Linked DNA regions of Saccharomyces cerevisiae S288C. Changing the gene in region 2 together with the main gene of any one other region gives a genetic interaction. Each region holds a gene or a part of one and is shown on either strand. Other genes may lie near its edges. The genes, in order: YAP1, XRS2, RLF2 and RTT107.

Region 1 (5,202 bases), on a different chromosome or scaffold from region 2:
ATAACGAGTTCTATAGACAATTTAACTACTTCGACAACCCCAGAGGAGGAGGATAATTTAATTCATCATAACTATGACGCCCAAGGGTATGGATCAGGAGAGGACGATGGAGAAGAGGTTTATGATGATGAAGATCTTTCTTCTTCCGATTACTCAGTACTATCCATTCTACCGTCAATCTCAATTTGTGATTCTCTAGGGTATTTTAGGCTAGTTTTGCAATCTATATTAATTCAGGATCCAGACACCAAAGAAATTTTTACTGCGATTAGACAGTCAAACAATAAACCTACAATGGCAAGCGTTACCGATGATTGGTTGCTGTATGATTCCAATTTTTCAATGAATAATTTACAAATTCTAACACTTCAAGATTTGCTAGATATCAAGAGATCATTTCCAAAAATTTTATTTTACACAATGGTTATTGTGACAAACTCCGGCAAACAGGTTGAAGAAGAATTCAAAAATCCCAATTATGATAATAGGGAAGGAATATCAAAAGAGCAACCTCTAGATTCTGAGTTATCATTAACTAACGACCCGCAACAATATTTCCCGACTGCATATAATAACGGTTACAACGACTATATTGACGATGAAGACGATGAAGACGATGGTGACGATGCTTCTTTATCAGAACAGTCAGGCCCACAAATGTACATACCAACTAGAATGGAATCTAACGTTACTACAGCACATCGTTCTATTAGAACCGTAAACAGTATCGGGGAATGGGCATTCAATAGACATAATTCTGTTACAAAAATCGATAAAAGTAATAGTAACGAGTTGGATAACTCTAAAACAGGTGAAAGTACAGTTTTATCAAGTGAACCTCATCCAATGACACAACTGTCGAACTCTAATACGACTTCCTCGAATTTTAGCCATTCTTTGAAGACAAAAAATTCTCACAAACCTAATTCCAAGGGTAACAATGAAAGTAATTCCAAAAATGAGTTGAAAAAGATAAAGAGTTCCATCAATGCTATGAGTGCCGTGGAAAGGTCCAAAAGTTTGCCTTTACCTACATTACTAAAGTCTTTAAGCGGCATAGATAACCCTACTCATGCCACTAACAAGGATAGAAAGCGTTGGAAATTCCAGATGAATAGGTTTAAGAATCATAAAAACAGTGGTTCTGCAGGTACGGATAAATCTCAGCGTTGTGCCATCATGTAAAGAATACTTTACCACTATATATAGATATATATATATACTTGTATTATAATTATAATCATTATTGGTACTATTGCACTTACCAGTTTCTATATTGACATTGAAGGTGATACAGAGAATTCATACATAGTCTAAATATATTTAAAGTATAGGTTGTGTACATAAAAAAATACCGAGGTGATACAATCTACCTACTTTCGGCGAAAAGGCGAAGCAAGGTAAGTTAAAAAAGTTTAATTGTAACATTATAGAAAAAGTTCTTTCGGTTACCCAGTTTTCCATAAAGTTCCCGCTTTAGTTCATATGCTTATTCAAAGCTAATTGAACGTCTTCTGCATTGATGACAACCCCTCTTTCTGAACATTTTGCCTTTGCCATTAGCTCGGAACATAAACCATCGACATCAATATCTGAGTATTTCGGATGTGTTGTTATTCTATCCCAAATTTCCGAACACCTTAGTAAAGAGCCTTCCTTAGATGGAACGACATCATTATCATTATCGTTATCATTGCCATTATTGATTTTGTCAGCATTCTGTAAACTACTGCCATTTTTTTGTGAGATTTCGCTTTCATTTCCTGGTACCGATTGTAGATATTGTTTCGGAAGCTCTGGTTCTTCGTTAATTAACTGGTTCTTGATTAAACTTGACTCATCGTCTGACATATTAGCGGCTTTTTTGTCATCATCGTCATCCTCTAAAAACTCTCCAAATAAATTGTTACCTTCCTTCGATGAATCTCTAAAAAACATGTCGTAGTCAAACTTATTTTGAGATTGAGATTCAGAGAAAGGTTGTAATTGAATATTAGTTGAATTGTCGTCTGGGAAAGCCAGATTTGCGTTGATAAAAGGTATATCCTCTTTGCTGCTTTGCAGTAGGCTGGGATTGGTGTTAGAGGCAGCATTATTGCCGATGCCGGTAGATCCCGGACTAAAAAAATTAGTAACTTGGTTCATATCAAACGGTGACTCGGATATGAATGGGAGTACATCATCGCTATTATTATTGTTCTTTTTGTTCTTATTGCCAGTGCTACCAGTGCTATCAGTGCTACCAGTGCTATTATCATTCACGACGTAATGATTGGCACTCATATCGAAACCAAGTCGGCCAAAACCGGAGAAGGAATTTTCATATTTAGTAGCATCAGTAGCAATGACATTAGCAGGAGTATTATCTGTAATATTAGAATGTGATTCCCAAGTATTTGTTAAAGCAGGAGAATTTGAACTTAGTATAGAAGATGACGCGAAAACTTCTTTATCAAGAGCCGAGATGGGTTTCTTGGGAATGGGACATTGCCTTGTTCCACATACCTGGTTCATTTTCGAACAAAACTCCGAAACTTGTTCATCAAATTGGTTTTCAAAATTAAAGTCATTAGAAAACATATTACTGTCTAAATTCTTAGTTTTACTATTGCTGCCATCATCACCTGACACAAACCTGTTAGTATATATTACATTATCTAACCAATCCATCGAAGTGGAGGAGTTTGGTGTGTTATTAAGAACATCGTTACTATTTGAAAGGGAATCCAAAGTAGCGCTGGAGGAATCTGTAGCGTCACTTAATTTCTTTTGTGTCTGATTTATAGGCATAGGAGCCGAATGACTTGGATCATTTGGTGAAGGTAATTGTTTCCCCACATTTTTACTGTTGTCGTTGTCGTTGTCGTTATCAAGCGGATATTGAAACGTGAAATTCATCTTTTGTTTAACATTTTCTTGTATGTCATCATTGGGTGTGTCAATTGGCTCGCTATTGCTGTGGTTAACGTTATTTTTTGAAAAATGCAAATTAGGATCTCGCCTTGCTAAATATTCCAGCACTTTTGAGTCATTTCTTGTCTCTGGTCTATATTTTTTTAACTCATTCACCAGAGTGATTAACTGGTCCCTCAAAAAAGTAGCTTCCACTTCATTTTGCTGCTGAATACTCTCTAAACTTTGTACCTTCTTCTCCAATTCCTTCATCTTCCTCTCCTTACGTTCCCTAAAAGCTCTTTGAGCGGCCCGATTTTGGGCAGTCCTCTTCTGCTTAGTTTCAGGATCCAAATCTTGCTTTTTGCTAGTTTTGCTACCCTTCTTCTTCGGTTGCTCGCTATCCTCGCCATCACGTGTACCAGTACGTCTATGTTCATTTTCTATTTCATCGTGACGAGATTTTGAACCCTCAAACTCCGCTAATGAACCCGGAGAAACGACATCCAGCGACCTCTTGGCGGTAGACACACTCATGGTTTAAGAAACAACTTTTCCTTCTTTAAACGTTTTGGGTGGCAAAAAACTTCCCTTAAACAAACTAAAAATGGCTCGTGTTCATGCACAAGTCAACCAGGGGCTCAGGAAAAAAAGCTAAACACCAATCCTATATATAACGTAAAGGTACTGTGCTTAATCGGTAAACGGAAGACTATTAAGCAAATGTATCTCTTAAGACCTTACGCATCCATCAGTTGCCACCCTCCTACTCTTCATCGGAGGGTTTCCGGTTCCCATGACAAAGACGGCGCTTTGGCGGGGCCCAAATTGTTACCCGCACCCAGAAAAAGAAAAGAGTAACCTAGGTCAAATCAACCAAACAGCTAGGGCTGGTTACTATTTTTGAAAAGATGCAACAGGGTAAGATCAGCAAAATTTAGGGCCGAACAAAGCCCCGATCTTCGTATATGGTACCTCGTTCCCGTACTTATTTTCAATTTTTGGCGTCGTTTACTGCCGTTTCCGATAAATACAAAAAAGTTTTCGAGAAGCGAGAGTAAGTGAGGAGCAGACAATGTATTATTCACTGTAAACTGCTCCACTTCGTCTCAATGGTACACTTCATTTTTATCGCCTTACGAAGCATGCGTTTTATGCGAAGATTGGTGAGAAACCTCCAATACTTGCTGTTGCCGATAACTTCTTCATTGCTTTTTATATAGTTCGGGTGTTTTCTCCTATCCTCTGCTGCTCTCTTTTTCTTTCCATTCGTCTTTGTAATTTATAAGCTGTTAATTTTCATTCAAGTTTCCCTTATCTGTTTTACTTTCGATTTAAGTTTTACATAATTTAAAAAAACAAGAATAAAATAATAATATAGTAGGCAGCATAAGATGAGTGAAACAGAATTGAGAAAAAGACAGGCCCAATTCACTAGGGAGTTACATGGTGATGATATTGGTAAAAAGACAGGTTTGAGTGCATTGATGTCGAAGAACAACTCTGCCCAAAAGGAAGCCGTTCAGAAGTACTTGAGAAATTGGGATGGTAGAACCGATAAAGATGCCGAAGAACGTCGTCTTGAGGATTATAATGAAGCCACACATTCCTACTATAACGTCGTTACAGATTTCTATGAATATGGTTGGGGTTCCTCTTTCCATTTCAGCAGATTTTATAAAGGTGAGAGTTTCGCTGCCTCGATAGCAAGACATGAACATTATTTAGCTTACAAGGCTGGTATTCAAAGAGGCGATTTAGTTCTCGACGTTGGTTGTGGTGTTGGGGGCCCAGCAAGAGAGATTGCAAGATTTACCGGTTGTAACGTCATCGGTCTAAACAATAACGATTACCAAATTGCCAAGGCAAAATATTACGCTAAAAAATACAATTTGAGTGACCAAATGGACTTTGTAAAGGGTGATTTCATGAAAATGGATTTCGAAGAAAACACTTTCGACAAAGTTTATGCAATTGAGGCCACATGTCACGCTCCAAAATTAGAAGGTGTATACAGCGAAATCTACAAGGTTTTGAAACCGGGTGGTACCTTTGCTGTTTACGAATGGGTAATGACTGATAAATATGACGAAAACAATCCTGAACATAGAAAGATCGCTTATGAAATTGAACTAGGTGATGGTATCCCAAAGATGTTCCATGTCGACGTGGCTAGGAAAGCATTGAAGAACTGTGGTTTCGAAGTCCTCGTTAGCGAAGACCTGGCGGACAATGATGATGAAATCCCTTGGTATTACCCATTAACTGGTGAGTGGAAGTACGTTCAAAACTTAGCTAATTTGGCCACAT
Region 2 (5,864 bases):
TTACTGATGGTAACGTTCTGTGCATTCCAACATTAGAAGATGGCACTGTTGACATCGATACTAAGGAATGGAATTTTATCAAGACGTGGGAGTTGATGCAAGAGTTGCCAAAGACGGGCAAAACTAAAGCCGTTGGTGTCTCTAATTTTTCTATTAACAACATTAAAGAATTATTAGAATCTCCAAATAACAAGGTGGTACCAGCTACTAATCAAATTGAAATTCATCCATTGCTACCACAAGACGAATTGATTGCCTTTTGTAAGGAAAAGGGTATTGTTGTTGAAGCCTACTCACCATTTGGGAGTGCTAATGCTCCTTTACTAAAAGAGCAAGCAATTATTGATATGGCTAAAAAGCACGGCGTTGAGCCAGCACAGCTTATTATCAGTTGGAGTATTCAAAGAGGCTACGTTGTTCTGGCCAAATCGGTTAATCCTGAAAGAATTGTATCCAATTTTAAGATTTTCACTCTGCCTGAGGATGATTTCAAGACTATTAGTAACCTATCCAAAGTGCATGGTACAAAGAGAGTCGTTGATATGAAGTGGGGATCCTTCCCAATTTTCCAATGAGCGCGCTACATTACAGTTAATGCCTCCAGCAACCTGTAGTGCTTCTTTAAACCGATCCGATACAGCTGAAACAAACATTGATTTTACTAATTTTCATATAATATATACACATATATCGAATGATAATGCAAAATATAATTTAATGAAATTGGAAATACTCGGAAAATTTATCATTATCCTTTTCTTCTTTTGAACGTAAACTTCGGACCGTCGTCATCGTCGTCGTCGCCATCACCGTTATTAGAAGCCCCAAAAGAGCCACGTGATCTACTAGTTGCGCTTCTACTGTGTCTACTTTGCTTGGAACATTCTTCTGACAAGTTTGGCCGTAAGTTCATTTCCTTCACCACAAAAAGATTACGATTATTTTCTCTGTGATTTAGTCTATCGCTTTTATCATCAATATCACCCAGATCATCTTCATCAGTAATAAAAATTTTGTTTTTTAGTGGTTGAACGCTGGCTGCAGTACCTGAACAACGAGAAAAAGAAAACGAATCTTCTTCTCCTTCATTTGAACTATCCTCATTCGTGAATCTGTTTAGAGCTTGAGATCTTTTCTGGATAGTGTTTGAGTTTATATTATCGGACATAAATGTATTCGATCCAAATCTTTCCATCTCCGTCAAAGCAAACATATCTTCGTTTTCTTCTGTGCCCCATTTTGTAGTTGTATCCTTTTTGGAGTATTTTTTTAACGGAACATAATTTCTAGTGATTAAAAAGGCTGCATTTCGTATAAAATCTGAGCTTTGAGTGTTATTTTTACCCTCTTCTTTGTGCGCCTTTGATTTTGGACGTACCTTGACAAAAGTCTTGAAATTCTTGCGTTTATGCCATTCTGGCTCCATTAGGCTATTTTCCCATTTTTCAGTTGTTCTGCTTGTTTTGTTTCCCTCACTATCAAATGATTTCCTCAGTAAATTGTTACTAGGTTCTACAATAGCCAAATTTTTTAGCTGATTAATAGCTTCCTCGCTCAACTCCTCATCCTTCAATTCAACAATGGTTGACTTAACTCTTTTGACCTCTCTATTTTTAGTTTCTTGAATAGCTTCAACAAATGCGTGCGGCGTACCAGATTTCTCTTTAATAGATAACTCTTTTACAGGTGACTTACAATTTTCTTGTAATGGAGATGAAATTTCTCGTGAATAATTAGAAAGTTTACGGATGTTTTTAGAGGGTTGCTCTATATTCTGGTGATGATTCACCCTAAAATTCTTAGTAACTTCAGCATCATCCATCGAATTCACAGCAGCTGTTTCATAGTCAGCGGAGTTCGAAGATATGGTTTGAGAGCCAATCCCTGCTACCTCCGGCAATGACGGCTGTGGTAACTTATGTGACTGTAGCGACTTATCCAACGAATCCTCACTCGTGTTCACAGTACCTAAGTTGGGGCTACTGACAATTATAGCACCAGGGCTACTGTGACCACTTTTCTTTCCAATATCTTCAGTCGGCTTTAGTGCGTTTTGAAGAAATGGGGCGTGCTTTTCATCTGCCTCTGCAATGTTGGGACTTGAAATGACAGTCTTTGATTCTGCGCCACAATTAAGTCTCTTAGCGTCAGTTAAAGACCTATTTTCTGATAGAGTCTTAGTACTCAAACCTCCAGCAAAAAAATCAAGACTATCGAGTGGTAGTACTCTACGTCTATTTAATTTTCGCTTCTTCGAGACTACTGGACTAGCTTCAACTTCAGGTGCACGAGATGTTTTCAAAATAGTAGACATTCCTTCAGAAATTTGATCAAATTTACCGTTATCTAGAGTTCTTGAAGATGCACCCTTCATATTAATCACTGCGCTTAAGGTGCCATCTATTATTGATGTTAACATCGTTTTGATAGTACATAGAATTTTCCCATTTTCTTTCTTATCTGTAGTTGTCAAAATCAGGTATTCTGTTGATGCTTCCAAGCTGTCAACATATTTATATAAACTATCAATGTTGTCAAATGCAAATAAATTTATATTGAACGTCCGCAGGAGAGATGATAGACGTGGTTCACTTTTGATAGTAGTTAACACTCTGATATTATTCAGCCTCATAAACTTCGAAAGCAAAATATTTGGATCAAAATCAAAAACATTGTACTCCGGATTACTAATCATATCGTTCCACATTTCATCAAATTTTAAATTAGTTTTAGATGTGGGAAGAAGAGTATTACACAATTCCATCAGAAACCGTGATTTTTTCATGGGTATAGTACTAACAAGGGCATACAATTCCCGTATGCTGTTGTCCTCGCTCTTTGGGTAATCGCTAATCATCAGATTAGCGGGAATATCATTAATAGAAATCTCAGTGGAGATACCATATTCAGAAAGCATCGTCCTGAATTGTGTCAAATGAGGAGGAATGTTCCAGACTTCATTTATCCATTCGAACTCTATACGAATAGGAGTTGTACCCAGTTCAATTATTGTGGACTTTAAAACGTCCGAGGCATTAATAGTAAATGTTTCGCCAACTTTCATGAATTTTTTATTTAATGATGTCAATTTACCCTTGTTAACTAAACACAGGCTACTGTGTTTCAGATCCGAACTATTATTGATTTCCCATTTGAATGTGATATGCTGTCTGGAAATACTTTTATCATTTTTAATTATCAGTGGGTTTTTACTTGATCTACCTATACTATAAGTTTTGAAGGCCTGAAGACAACATGATATAAAGCTAATAGAGCCATCTTCCAATGTATTCTGGTATCGTACTACCCACATAAATTTATAGTTATCACCTTCTCAGTATTGTTGCTCATCTATTACAAAATTCTGCTTATTTGGTTTACGCATTGCTTTTCATAGAAAAAAAGGGCTCCCCATATAAATTTAAGAAAAGTACTAATATTTAGCGTAGTTAACAACTTTACGAAAATGAAAATGAAATATTTCTCGGAAAAGTATTATATATTATACACGTCTCTACATTCCAAATAATTCTACGTTTCTTGGAGTAGTCTTAAGTTTAGTGATGACGATGGCGTTGTTAGTATCTATACCGATTTCAAATGATTCTGGTTTTGTACTGCTATAGTCAGAGATATTTGCCTCCACCAGCTTACAAATTGCTTCAATACAATAATGACACCATTCTACCGCAATTTGGGCATTATAGTTAAGTTCCTTTTTATTTGTAGGTAGACCTGGGTGATTGAATTTCTTACATAATAAGTCCCTTGAGTACCATTGAATGTCTAGTAATTGACCGCTATGACTGTCCCTCAAACCTATCATGATATCTGAGTTCGGTAATAAACCCGTCTGTACCCACGTTTTCAGAAGTTTTCTCCTATGATTGGAATTGTGCATTGATAATGGGGCAAAACACTTTAGTTCTGTGTTTGTCTCCGAAACAGGATTGAATGCATCCATTTCGCAGCGAATTAAAAGACCAATTTCTTCTGAAAGTTTACTCTCTACAAGAGAAAAAATAGGACATTTAGAGCCAGTTAAATCAGCGACTTTGGAATTTTCGGTTACCCAATTTTCAAATTCAAATCCTGAATAGCAAATTTTCTTCATATTTGGATCATTTGAATAAATGCCCTCTTTGGACATTTGAGAATCTTTTTTTACATTTCTGCAAAATGAAAGAAGGCCCGCCCCCATATAAGTTACAATTAGTGACGTTTGTCTATTTCGCCTGTTAAAGAGATGCATAGTCAAATCTACGATATGATGTCTTGTGGTTACAACAGTAAATTTCTTGCCGATCTTAAAATCCTTACCAGGATTATCTAGTATCCAGTTCTCAATGTATGAAAAACACGGTGATACACTATCTAATTCGGATATTGTCATGGGAACGAACTCATCAATATTAGCAAATAAGTCATGGCCTAAATACGGGACTTTCCGCTTTTTTGCCTCAAGAAGCGAGCTTTCATACAATTCAGCAATACTTTCTTTCAAATTTGGTATAAGGTCTTTGCGTAGGATTGTATAAGCCCGGCCATTGGTAAACAGAGCTACTTCTTTACTTTCATGAAATATATCTCTTGGTGGTTTCGTCAAAAAATTGTGCATACCAGTATGCAGAAAAGACGTATATGGGATACATATAAGTTTCGGACGTCTCTTTCTATAATTGTCTCTCTGTTGTGAAGGCTTCCTTGACGAAGATGAATCAGAAGTAGTTTTCTCTTTGCATAATTTACTTTGGTGTCCTCTCTCGAGATTGGGCACAGTAAGCAAATTTATACCTTCTAAATCTTTGGCCAATCCAAGAACAGCATCTTGTTCAGTTGACATAACTGAGTTTGGCTAGAAAGAAAACTTTGACATAAAATCATCGATACCTACAACTGGCGCTGTAATGCAACAATGCCATTATAAAAGTAAAACATGCTGCGAAAATTGCGGAAAAACTGGAAAAATCAATAGTGGGGTAATCCCAGTTAGTTTGACACAATAATTTGGTGATTTTGGTGGAATAATCATTATTTGTGAGGATACACCAACGAAAAGAACCTTTTGTGGTAGTATGGTCCAACAATTGTATTTGCAGGTTGGTACTAACAACCTCTATAAGTAGACGATACAAGAGTGATCATATGGTAGGACACTCAGCTCAGCACAGATCAAAAAGCAGCTTAGTGTCTCACCTACTAATACTACTTATCTTTATAACGATTATTATTGAAATGTGTTTATATAATAAAATTTTTAAGAACCAAAGGTCGGATGATATTAGAGACAACTTTAACAATGGCGGACATCGAGTTCCCAGTAATGTCCAAAATCATGGAACCCATATAAGAGACGAAGCCTTTATATCAGGGGTCTATTATTCCAATTGGTCCCCATACAAACCGAGGTTTCATTTCCCTCACGACATAAACTTGAAGCAAGTGTCTCACATTTACTATGCATTTTTCAAAATAAACTCTAGAACTGGTGGTATAGAAAACACGGATAGTTGGTCTGATCTAGAAATGAATTTGTATAAATCGCTGGCAATTAAAAATTCAGAACTAATTAAAGAAAGCTCGAACAATAGTGTCCAAAACATCCTACCCTTAGGTTGCATTGGTGAACTATTTTATTTGAAGAATACCTGTTCTGATAAGAAATTTAAAGTTATCATGTCAATTGGGGGCTGGTCTGATAGTGAAAATTTCAAAATCATAATTAAAGATGATAAACTCTTACAAAATTTTGTTGATTCGTCGGTGGAAACAATGTTCAGATTAGGATTTGATGGCATTGATCTAGACTGGGAGTTCCCTGGTAACAATGAATCAGAACCTCGCGGATATCTGAAACTGGTCAG
Region 3 (5,077 bases), on a different chromosome or scaffold from region 2:
TAACTGCCAAGTAATCGTTCACAACCATACCGGCACCGACAACTGAACTACCACGGTTAACGGTACCAGCCACCAAAGGAACTTGTAATAAGGAGGACAATTCTTCTTGATCTTGGACACTTGTTTGTGGATGCACTAACCCACCTTGATTACTTAAAGAACAATATGACCCAACTAAGATATTACCTGATATGGTTTGACGGAAGACCTCAACGCCTAGTACATCACTTATCAATTCTTCAGTTTCTCTGTCGATATCTGGATGCACTAAAGCAACGTAATCATTACAACAGATGACGTTACCCAAGGCAGATAGTCTTTCCTCTACCCTTTGAATCTTAACGGAATCCGGCAAACTATTTCTTAAATGTTGTAATTCTTGATCAGTAGTTTGGGTTGGAACTAGCAGACCTCTACGGTTACCCGCGGTCATTCTACCGATGATACGCGTACCAGCAATAGTGGTATGAACGATGGGAATAGCATCTCCTAATTCAGCTTCAAATGCAGAGTAAAAGTTTTCAGAACCACCAACAGCAACCAAACAGTAAGTATTCGTTAATTTGGAGAATACACCGATTTCATTGGAGTTTTCAAATTGAGTCCTGGTAGCCATTATTGTTTTCTAGAGTTAGTTGAATTATGCTCTTGTTCCAAATACTCTGTCGTATTGCTTCTTGTAATTATACTATAAGACCAACGAGGGATGAGGCTTCTTTTAATTATGCAATATTGAATATTGCGTTACATACAGTAAAAGAAAAAATCTGCACAAAGGAATATGGGTTTAAATCTTTAATTAATAAAAATTTTCCGAAAATTTTCGTTTGGCCCTCGGAAAAAACGGGTAATGCTCATCCATTAGGATTTCGTCCAGAATGCCTATATTATTACATAAAGTGATGCTAGTAATGTAAACCAGAACTACTTCTATAGCTTGTTATAGGTGGCCCATGCCAGTGAAATAGGTGGTTGGTTACTCTTTTTTTTTTCTGGTGGCGGCAACCTATTTTTGTTCTAGTGCCTACCAAACTAATTCCTTCCCATAATTTGAAGGCTTCGCAAGCTTAGTAGATGCAAAACTCTTTCTTCATTCTTTGTCTGATCTTGCACCTTACATATTATTCCAATAGGACCTTTATCACAATCAGCGCATATCAAATATTTCAAGCACTTTTTAATCTTCCAGCTGGAATTACCATACTCAAAGACAAAATCACTCTTATCACTCAAATCCCCTAATATAGAAGAAGGAATTTCTCTAGATACACCAACATTATCAAAGTCCCAAACATCAGGGACGACCAAGAAGTTGCTCTCGCTGGGGGTAGCATCTCGCATAGTTCTGTTTTCCAGCAACTTGAATTCGCTGTGCACCTGCTCTGGTAAGTTTATTATGTTATCATCGTTGATGGTAATAACTGCACTATGACAGCCCTCAAAGGAACACGTAGCCTTGCTCATGTTCTCTGTTATTCCCCCATTTTTCCAGCCCTTTTAATTGAACTTTCTACTCATACCAGTCAAGTTTTTGATATGTACTTCATTAATTAAAATGATCGATATATAATCGTTCAGTACGACAATGACGATATTCACAGTACTACTAAACTAGCGGGTCCCCGGCGCCCAGTCAGCCTTTACGAAGAGAAAGGAAGAATGATATGGATATGCTGAAAAGTATTTTGATACAGAAGAAGGGAGTTTTGAGTTGTCGGGCTCATCGTGCTGGATCAAGTGGTTCCCTACCTGGCGCGATCTATAGTGTCAGACGGCTTGCATATATGCTCACGCGTTCGGACGCGTGAAAGGCTTCAACTGAAAAAAAGAAAGATCTACATCGTTAAACCAAAAGGTTTGCGAACTGACTAAAAAATAAAATTCTTATTGGTTCCACTTCTTGAAATACATCATTTTTCCAGCCAATTCGTTGAGGAGAAGAACATTCTGTTATTGCTGTTACAGAGAATTATATGTTTTAGTGAACCTCAAGACAGAAGAGAATCGAAAGGAAAAGGGAAAATGGAGCAACATCTCAAATCAATTCCTCTACAGGACGACACTAAGAAAAAAGGCATACTATCTTTTTTCCAGAATACAACTACGGTAAAGAGTAATAAGTTTCTCACGAAAGAGAAGGATGTCATCACTCTAGATGATCCTAAAGAGGATGTCAGTGGACCTATGATAGAAACTGTTAAACAAGAAACCATGAAAAGCATCAATAAAGAGTGTGCAGATGAAATGAAAACGACACCTAAGAAGGCCAATGCTGAAGACAAGCTTTTATGCTACAAAAATTCACCCATACAAAGTACAAAATACGATAGAAACACCAACAAACAAGTACCCAATGGAAATATAATAGCTATCGAGACAAAAAGCAGAAGCTCTTCTCCATGCTCTAAGAGAGAACTTTCCTCATCGAAAAAGGAAGAAGCTAAAAGAGAAAAGGAACTAAAAAAGCAGCAACGTGCAGAAGAGAAACACAGAAAAGAGTTATTACGACAAGAAGAGAAAAAGAAAAAAGAGCTAAAGGTAGAAGAGGAAAGACAAAGGCGTGCTGAGCTGAAAAAGCAAAAGGAAGAGGAAAAGCGTAGAAAGGAAGAAGCCAGATTAGAAGCCAAAAGAAGAAAAGAGGAGGAAAGATTGAAAAAGGAGGAGGAAATACGTTTGAAAGAAGAAGCCAAGGAAAGAGCACAATCCCGTATTGGTAACTTCTTTAAAAAACTAAGCGATTCTAATACGCCTGTGGTTGAAAAGTCGGATTATGAAAAATTTTTTCTACCTTTCTATGCTAAAGATGGAGTTAGAGTCAGTAATAAGTGGAAACTAACAAAAGTGGAGCTGGAAGGTAGCAAAAGAAAAATAGATGATGAATTACTGAACAGTAAAGATAAAACAAGTAGTGACGACTTATTGAATTGGTTACAGTCTAGAAGATTACCTAGAGGACATAAAATTAAACGTAAAGCTGTTGACGTTCTACAGCAAATGCCTTTGAAGGAGAAAACAGACGATGAGCTCCAATCTTTACTTGCACAAGTTCCGCACAAATATATAAAATTCTACGAAAATGTTAGACCTCCGTTTATCGGAACCTATTCTATGGACTTTACTTTGCCACCAAACGATCCCTTTTCTACGAAAGGTACTGGATTCAATTATGATTACGATTCTGACGTTGAATGGGTTAATGAAGAAGAAGAAGGCGAAGTCGATAACTTAGAAAGTGGTGAAGAGGAGGAGGAGGAGGAAGATGATGAAGACGTACCTAGCGAAGGAGAGTTTGACGGGTTTCTAGACAGCGAAGAAAACAGTGATTTGGATGGCCTACCCTGCGCCAAGAGAAAATTTGTAGGCCCATTGATACCAACAATATGCCTAAAATCCAATTTTGAAAACTTATCAGAGGAAAATAAACGATACTTACAACAACTCAAGGCCGAAGTTATCATAGAAACCGACGGGCCAATCGATCCATTCAAAGAACCCAAAACATCGTCTCTACCATCCAAAAGAAGTAATTCCGACTTACAGGCACAGACCGCTAGCCAATCTCAAAGTCCCGAAAAGAAACAAAAAGCAATGATTACAGACCCCATGGACTTACTTCGACTTTTTGATGGGGTTCAAGACAGCACGTTTTCTTTGGGTACTGTGACTGAAATAGCACAGAAAAATTTGCCGCAATACAACAAACAAACAATTAAAAACACCATAAAGGAATATGCCATAAGAAGTTCTGGAAAGGGTGATTTGCCCCGCAAATGGGTAATCAAAGACGCACAAAACTGGGAGAATCTTCGAGCCAATGCAAATATGCCAACCCCGTCTTTGTAACTTGAACGGATCTTTAGTATATAGAAACATACAGATAAACTGATTATTTATTGGTATACATGAAAAAGGCGACAACACTACGATCGACAGTCAAGCCTTTTGGACTTTGAATAAAATCCAGCACTTCTCGCATGCAACAAAAGAAAATCTTCTATATAAGCTGAACTACATTTATCTGTGTCAGCCAACTGCATGTTTTATATCACTTCTTTTTGGAATATTACGAGTAGATTCATGAAAACGCAAACACTTGGTTTACTCTTTCGGGAAATTTAATGCTAGTTCGCCGCCTCGAAAATGAAAAGAGAAGAAGAGACCAGAAGAGCAACTTCGCATTGGCACTGTTTATTTCTTTAAGAACATCTTCAATACTAAATAAGACAACCCATCTTCAGTTATTTTTACTCTTGGTAGAGCCCAACTTAGGATCCTTTTGAACCTCAAGAACTTAAAATGTCTCAACAGTCTAGCTCTCCAACAAAAGAGGATAATAACTCCAGCTCCCCCGTTGTGCCTAATCCTGATTCTGTTCCACCACAGCTTTCTTCCCCAGCTCTATTTTATAGCTCCTCTTCATCACAAGGTGATATCTATGGTCGCAACAATAGCCAGAACTTAAGTCAGGGAGAGGGAAACATCAGAGCTGCTATAGGTTCTTCTCCACTAAATTTTCCATCTTCTTCCCAAAGACAAAATTCCGATGTTTTCCAATCTCAAGGCAGACAGGGCAGAATTCGTTCTTCTGCGAGCGCTTCTGGAAGGTCTAGATATCATTCTGATCTGAGAAGTGATAGAGCACTGCCTACTTCTTCCTCTTCTTTAGGCCGTAATGGTCAAAACCGTGTACACATGCGAAGAAATGATATTCATACATCTGATTTATCCTCTCCAAGAAGAATTGTGGATTTTGATACTAGATCCGGCGTGAATACTTTGGATACTTCTTCTTCTTCTGCTCCTCCATCGGAAGCCAGTGAACCCTTGAGAATAATTTGGGGTACCAACGTCAGTATCCAGGAATGTACAACTAATTTTCGTAATTTTTTGATGTCTTTCAAGTATAAATTCCGTAAAATATTGGATGAAAGGGAGGAATTCATTAACAATACTACCGACGAAGAACTATACTATATCAAGCAGCTTAATGAAATGAGAGAACTTGGTACCTCTAATTTAAACTTGGATGCTAGAAACTTACTTGCTTACAAGCAAACAGAAGACTTATACCATCAAC
Region 4 (6,441 bases), on a different chromosome or scaffold from region 2:
GGAGAGTAATATAGGAGAAGGGAGCAGCTGTGAAAATAGTGTTTCCTTTATTCTTTGGAAGTCTTGGAACGAAGGCTTGTACGTATTTTCTACATAATCCACAGTACTGTGCATCCAACTACTCAGAGATTCCATTCTGGTATGGAAATAATTGACAGAAGCTCTAAAAGAGGGGGAATCGGTGGATGCTTCGTTAAGTGCAACGGTTATTAGCCGTAGCTCCGCTTTGTGTTCATGCATTATAAAATTGTTCTACAATGACCAATACCAAAGCTATAGAAGTGAAAAACTTGAAATTGGCAGTACTAAATCGAAGAACAGACCATCAGCTTCTGTCACCCTAGTTTTCACTACAATAAATGAAAGCTTCGCGAATAATACCTACAGCCCTTTCTTATTCACCAAATTTTCAGAGTGTTCTCTTCAAAGTTCGGGTAATAGGTGATTTATCTTCACTCATATTGAGACGATACAATACGCACGAGGATAATAAGCCCAAACTCAAAATTATGCATCATACCGTAATGTTTCCCATTTAACCCAATTTTATCTCTCATCCGCTCCACATATATGTATCTTGGTACTGTTCGCATGTAAACATTATTTAAGATTTCTGACGTAAATCTATGGATGTAACCTGTTTAATTATTAGATCAAAAAGTTCTTACTAACGTTAGTAGTTGGCTTGAGCCATTAAATTTTGCGTCATTAACATTGCGGATACTCTCGTAATAATATACCTAAAATACACTAGGTTTGGAACATTGTTCTTGACGCATTGAGTAGAAGGGCTCTCCGCTGTGTGAATATCTCAGAGTGGAAAATTGTACAATAGAGTTGCTTTACGCATTCTGGCCATGAATCTGTTTTTATCCATGAAATTGTAGAAAAATTAAAAGGTTTGCGGATAAAGTGTGGAATAAATGATTCTACTCACGGTACTATTTGACCCTTTGTATCCTATATTAGAAATGCTTTATTAAACAATCTAATTCAAAGACAGTACCAAATAATTGTTTCTAACTAGACATTTAAAATGGTCTGTTAATCATATGTGGGTTGTTTGTTGAACATAAGATTTTCTACAACGCATCTTTATAATTATTATATATTTATTTGTTATCAGTGTCGTATGTCAGATGACGTAATATATAGTGTCCATTTTTAGTTATTTTTCTTTTGATACAAAACATTTTTCTTTGATGTAAAATCAACATTGAGATGAAAAATTGATTCAACACACCAATTCCATTCAACAATCAAAATTGTTTCGTTTTTATCACGATCATTAATCAGTTTGGTAAATTTTTTAACCTGTGAAGCTTTGGTGACGATAAGTACGTATTTAAAAATGCCTCCGTTTTCCTGCTTAGAAACGTCATTTGGGATTATGTCTTCAAATGTGCATTTCTTACTACGTAAAACGTTGATTTTTTCGATACCATGTGCCTTTAGAACAGAGCCTATTGTATCTACACCACCCGGTATATCATTGACTAAGTTAATGCATCTAATATTCGCTCTTTCGAACACCTTAGTAGGTAGTTTGGTTTTTGATATTATACTCTCATTAATTCCATTTATCTCATAATCAAACAAGTTTATATTTATTTGAGAAAGTTTATCTTTTTTAGAATGAATTTGTTTCAGTAAATCAATAATAAATTCAGGTTTCAATGCGAATTTTAACGGTTCAAAACTTAAGCTTTTTAAAAATTTCTCGGTTCTCAAAATCTTTGGAGCAAAAATACAATTCAATTTATCCGTTTCTTTAATATTGTCAAAAATTTTTATACCTAGTTGGTTCAATATTTCGATGTCAACCTCATTAAATCCATCATGGAAACAACCGGTGCAAACCGCTTTTAGGTCATAATTTGGTAGTTCATTAAATCTAGCTAATATCTTTTCCGCTTTAGTAGCCAGTTCTTTGTTATTATTTGACCTTTCAACATCTTGGGACAATGAAATCTCCTCGCTATCAATTCTCTTCCTTTTAAAGTTTTTCTGAAATTCATTTAATGATTCAATATCTGTATGCAATCTCTTCGCAGCTTGTGTCTTTGCTAACCTTGAATTGCCACTTGATGGCATAAAAACTTGCGTTTGCGCGGTGGTTGGAGTATCAACGCCACTCGTAATATTTTGAGACGTCTTGGGTGTGGTATATTTGGAATTAACTGCCGGTTTTTCGTCATTAATGTGATCATCATTATCAGATAATCCTTCAAACAAATGCGAGAATTTATCTGTATCTTTTTTAGAAGTGACGTCTTCCGTAGAAATCAGTTTTCCTGTACTTTCCTCCCCTTGCTTTTCATTCGTCATTTGATCTACTTCAATGTGACATTCATTGGTTTCTTTCTCCTTTTCATTTTTCTTCGAAGTTTTGATCTCTCGTTTAGTTCGTTGTCCTAGCTGAACTTGCAGCTCCGTTTCTTCCTCTTCTTTTTTATAATCTATGTCATTCTTCTTGCGTGACTGTTCCCTTATTTCTTGTTTCTTAGGTGCATCATACTCCGTAATAGGTTTCGTAAACTCCTTTTCTTCTCTTTTTTCATGTCCTTCACAGAAAACCTCTGTTTCCATACTAATATCTGAGTTTGAGTCTTTCTTTTGTAAATTAGATTTTTTACTGTCAACTACTGGAAAACTTGCCCTTGAAGGTCTGGAAACAAAACTCCGTTCTAAATCTCCAGAATGGGTTACAGCCACCTCTCCTGATATTTTTTGTAATTTGTCAATCTTTTCATCAATTGAGTTCTCAAAACTACTAATGGGCGTACCATCTTTCTTTGATAATACATTGGTGTTATCGTTAATTTGATCCATTTGATCATTTGTGGGAGGCGGCTTCTCTGATATGGATTGCGTGTCGTAAGTCACCATCGATAGGTTTTTTGGAGTTGGGAGAGATGAATGATCCATTCCTATTTGGCCGATATTCCATCCCATGTTATCATCCAATTTAAAATTTTGAAATCTACTGTCTTTGGGGTTTAACTTGGAATTATTCATATAACATTGCTCTAACCACATATGATTTGTCACAATAATGGCATTTTGCGGGTCCAGTGACCATTTTTTTGCGACTTTGAATTTTTTGCCAATTGTACTCTTCGTGATCAAGTGTGTGTTTTTTCTTGTTAGTTCAGGTGTGCTAAGTCCTCCTAATATTTCTACTAACCTCTGAATATAAAACCTTTGGGAGCCGAAATAATTAGTGTACGCGACTGTTAATTCCTTAGAAGTAAATAATTTCGCATGAAATGGTTGGTGAATAAGTTTACATTGCGATACAGGTGTAAATTTTTGCAGCGCAAACATATAAAACAACCAACTTACGTTCCCAACATGAATTTCCGGTTTAATGCTTTTGGTTTTTTCTAGTATCGGTGAGTTAGCAGAGTGGCCGATATAACAGTCAATATCAGGAAAAGCTTGGTAAACAGACTTCAGATCGTCAGAAAAACTCAACGGAGTTACTTTGCCGTCCAAATCCTCGATAAATCCTTTCAAAAACCAATACAAAGGTGTGAAAAAGTTTAAATCTGGTGAGATAGCAAAGTGGTGATTTTTGAATAAAGTTTTGTTTGGATGAAGAGTAAGCTGCGATGATGATGTCTGCTTATCGCCAATAACCTCTTCCCATTTTGCGAATAACTGTTCCTCACTGGTGTCCTGCATATCAAGCTCACACAAAGTAGCAAGCTCGCCCTTCAAGGGCTTCGCCATTTTGAAATGATATAATATCCATATTGGATAGACAAATTTCCACTCTCTCAAAGGCTTTTCGGTGTGCTTGTTGGTCGATGAAGAGGAAAAAGAGCCAAATGTCAATTTACTGACCGTTGCTATGATCGGGTCCTGGGGACTTTGAACAATCACATGCGTCGTTCTATTTGAGATGTAATTGACTAAAGTGCCTCCTAATAAATGAAGCAAATCAGAGTATAATATGTATTCACACTTATTAAACGAGCTTTTGGAAATATATACTTGACAGTCTCGGAGCAAATGAAATGGGTTAGGTGAATACATATTTGTCCTCAAATGTCTCTTCGTCTTGACCGAATCCTGGACCCAAGTGTGTGATACCACCGGGATCAAAAGATCGAAATAAACTATCTTATAAAAAGGAAAGTTGATTGTATTACTAATGACAAAATGTACTGTTTGCGGGCCGAATTTGTTCATGAACCAATCTTTATCCGTCTTGACATCTTTCAAATTTTCGTTATAAAGCTCGTATATTTGACAGTTATTGCATGAATTATCCATCAAAAGCTTTCTAGTAGAGTGAGCGATGGGAAGCTCAGCCTCTGCTGCCACTAAAATTAAAAAATTTAGCTGCTCAAACAGAAGTGATGTGCTCATGGATCGTATATTTACCAGTATGCTACCTCCTTGAAATCTTGCCCAATAACCTAATGACTTCCATTGAATATACAATATAGAACATTGTGATGTATTTATTTATTGGCAAAAAATGTGACGCGAAAAACAACATTAGATGAGTGAAAAAGAAAAGTCACATCTGATATAGCTTACCCTGTTAACGCGTGAAAAGTGGGCGGCTAAAACCGAGAAAATACGAAATAGTGTAAAGGTTCAAGAGAATAAACTTCTGGAACAACATTTCTGGAATGGTTCAATAGAAATGTCTGAATTCTTTTGGGATGTACAAAAAATACAAGAGATTTCTAATGTCGAAGAACATTCTGTGGTTAAGTGTGTTACTGTGAATACGAGCAGGTTAATTTCGCAGCTTAACGAGGAGCTACAAGACGAAGAAAGTGGCGTCAATTTTATTGTTACACAGCTGCAATTACTGATAAATAATGTCTATGAGAAAATACAGAAAAGCCCTGGAGTTCCCGCACATCGTTCTCTGATGATAAATTTGAATTTCACGCGCTTGAAATTCTCAATAGCTTATTGGGATATCTTATTGGAGAGGTCACTAGATCTAATAAATGGACCATCGAAAACGGGTGCCCGCTACTTTATTACAGAGGTTACACCAGTAGACAGAAGTCGATATGTTGAAAACAATCAATATTTTCTAGCTTTTAAAGCTAACCAGCGTTTGACACGGAACAGCGTGGATATGGACGAGTTTATTGATTTTGAAATTCTAATCAAGCAAATAATTTTCGACCTCTTCAAAAAAAACGGAATTCCAGATCAAGATTTTGAAGCCATTTTATCAAGGTTTCATAATTTGGAAAGCTTGGTGGTTGCTTTTAATGAATAATAAAAAAAATGTAAGAAAAAAAAAATCAGGTATTGTTGAATTATTATTTACTTATTCTTTATGTACTCGTTTGCTTATTGGTTTAGTGTAGCATTTGGCTATTTTTGGATGACTAGAAAGGCAGATTTTTTTAGTAGAAATACTCCTCATCTTCATCGATTTCTACATCCTCTGAATCGGCAGCAAGGTTGCCTTTAAAGTTCAGTTTCATAGGATTGACTTTCTTTTTCTTTCCGAACATCTTAACTTTGTGCTCATTCAATTTCAATGAGCATGGTGATACCAGCCTGTCAGTCGGTGATGCAAATCTTTGTTGTAGTTGGAGTTTCCTCTTCGGATCCTGTTTTAAAAGATCCCTTTTGAACATTGTCTTTTTTACCAAATTGCTAGTGGTGTGTGACGACTTCAAGTTTGAAGTGCTTTTTTTCCTAAAAATTCGAAAGGCCGCAATCTCCTCCTCTAAATTAGGTATATTCTCTTTATTGGCGTCCTCTCCTGTCTTCGCCGATTCATTGTAATTATTGATGTTATTGTGGTGATGGTAGTTGTCGTTGTTGCTGCTGCTGCTTCTGGTGATTGTGTTTTCTCTGGTAATATCAGTCTTGAGGATGGAAGCCGTGCGTGCTGATTGGTCACTTGCCTTGTTGGACATAAATACGTTTTCTATTGTTCTTACTGTATATGTTATTTTGTTTTCCTACTAGAAGTATTCCAAGATAGTAACTAATCTGAATGAACGTTTGGCTGACCTCCTAAAAACTAGTTTGAAATGGCGCTTTAGACTTCAAAAGGAGGAATTCTCCTCTTGTGGCAGTATTGTTTCATGCTTTTGCTTACAATTTTCATTAGGAGAAAAAAAGGAAAGATGCCCTGTTTACATATTTCCAAATTAGGAAAAGATATTAACCATGGCGAACTGCATTTCAGACCTGCTTTTTTTTTTCTGTAACCCTTTTAAATTAGGGTTTGCAATTTTGGCATTTTTCTTTTTTCCACAATGGGAAGAGGCAATACAATGGGAATCATTGAAATTTCCATAAATGTTGATGAGTCTTTGGCTGAGCAAGTCACATTGAAGTGTTCGCTGCACGGTGAGATACACCCTGTTTAACTTTATTTGTCACCTTTTTGCTGGTATTTTTTAGTCGCTTTTAACCTCGCTTTTTCAAAGACTATCTCCATTC

The links.
Region 1: mutations in XRS2 (region 2) and YAP1 together harm fitness more than expected from each alone (negative genetic interaction), as found in Saccharomyces cerevisiae (3 studies listed by BioGRID, with this or other methods).
Region 3: mutations in XRS2 (region 2) and RLF2 together harm fitness more than expected from each alone (negative genetic interaction), as found in Saccharomyces cerevisiae (4 studies listed by BioGRID, with this or other methods).
Region 4: mutations in XRS2 (region 2) and RTT107 impair growth when combined (synthetic growth defect), as found in Saccharomyces cerevisiae (4 studies listed by BioGRID, with this or other methods).

What each region holds. Positions count from the first base shown.
Region 1 is NC_001145.3:252,075-257,276, reverse strand, and holds YAP1 (DNA-binding transcription factor YAP1), read right to left. Parts: upstream 3,430-5,202; coding exon 1,477-3,429; downstream 1-1,476. Other genes in the region: GIS4 (Gis4p), read left to right, coding at 1-1,185; MIN4 (Min4p), read left to right, coding at 4,005-4,115; ERG6 (sterol 24-C-methyltransferase), read left to right, coding at 4,287-5,202. UniProt on the Saccharomyces cerevisiae protein: Transcription activator involved in oxidative stress response and redox homeostasis.
Region 2 is NC_001136.10:1,214,268-1,220,131, forward strand, and holds XRS2 (Xrs2p), read right to left. Parts: upstream 3,314-5,864; coding exon 749-3,313; downstream 1-748. Other genes in the region: trifunctional aldehyde reductase/carbonyl reductase (NADPH)/glucose 1-dehydrogenase (NADP(+)) YPR1, read left to right, coding at 1-575; DXO1 (Dxo1p), read right to left, coding at 3,515-4,843; CTS2 (putative chitinase), read left to right, coding at 5,146-5,864. UniProt on the Saccharomyces cerevisiae protein: Component of the MRN complex, which plays a central role in double-strand break (DSB) repair, DNA recombination, maintenance of telomere integrity and meiosis.
Region 3 is NC_001148.4:592,454-597,530, forward strand, and holds RLF2 (Rlf2p), read left to right. Parts: upstream 1-2,022; coding exon 2,023-3,843; downstream 3,844-5,077. Other genes in the region: TIF6 (translation initiation factor 6), read right to left, coding at 1-616; guanine nucleotide exchange factor DSS4, read right to left, coding at 1,033-1,464; MCM DNA helicase complex subunit MCM4, read left to right, coding at 4,297-5,077.
Region 4 is NC_001140.6:400,902-407,342, reverse strand, and holds RTT107 (Rtt107p), read right to left. Parts: upstream 4,378-6,441; coding exon 1,165-4,377; downstream 1-1,164. Other genes in the region: LAM1 (Lam1p), read right to left, coding at 1-240; SPO16 (Spo16p), read left to right, coding at 4,661-5,257; SPO12 (Spo12p), read right to left, coding at 5,388-5,909. UniProt on the Saccharomyces cerevisiae protein: Required for resumption of chromosome replication after DNA damage, specifically in S phase. Is recruited to chromatin in the presence of RTT109 and RTT101 in response to stalled replication forks and acts as a scaffold during DNA repair.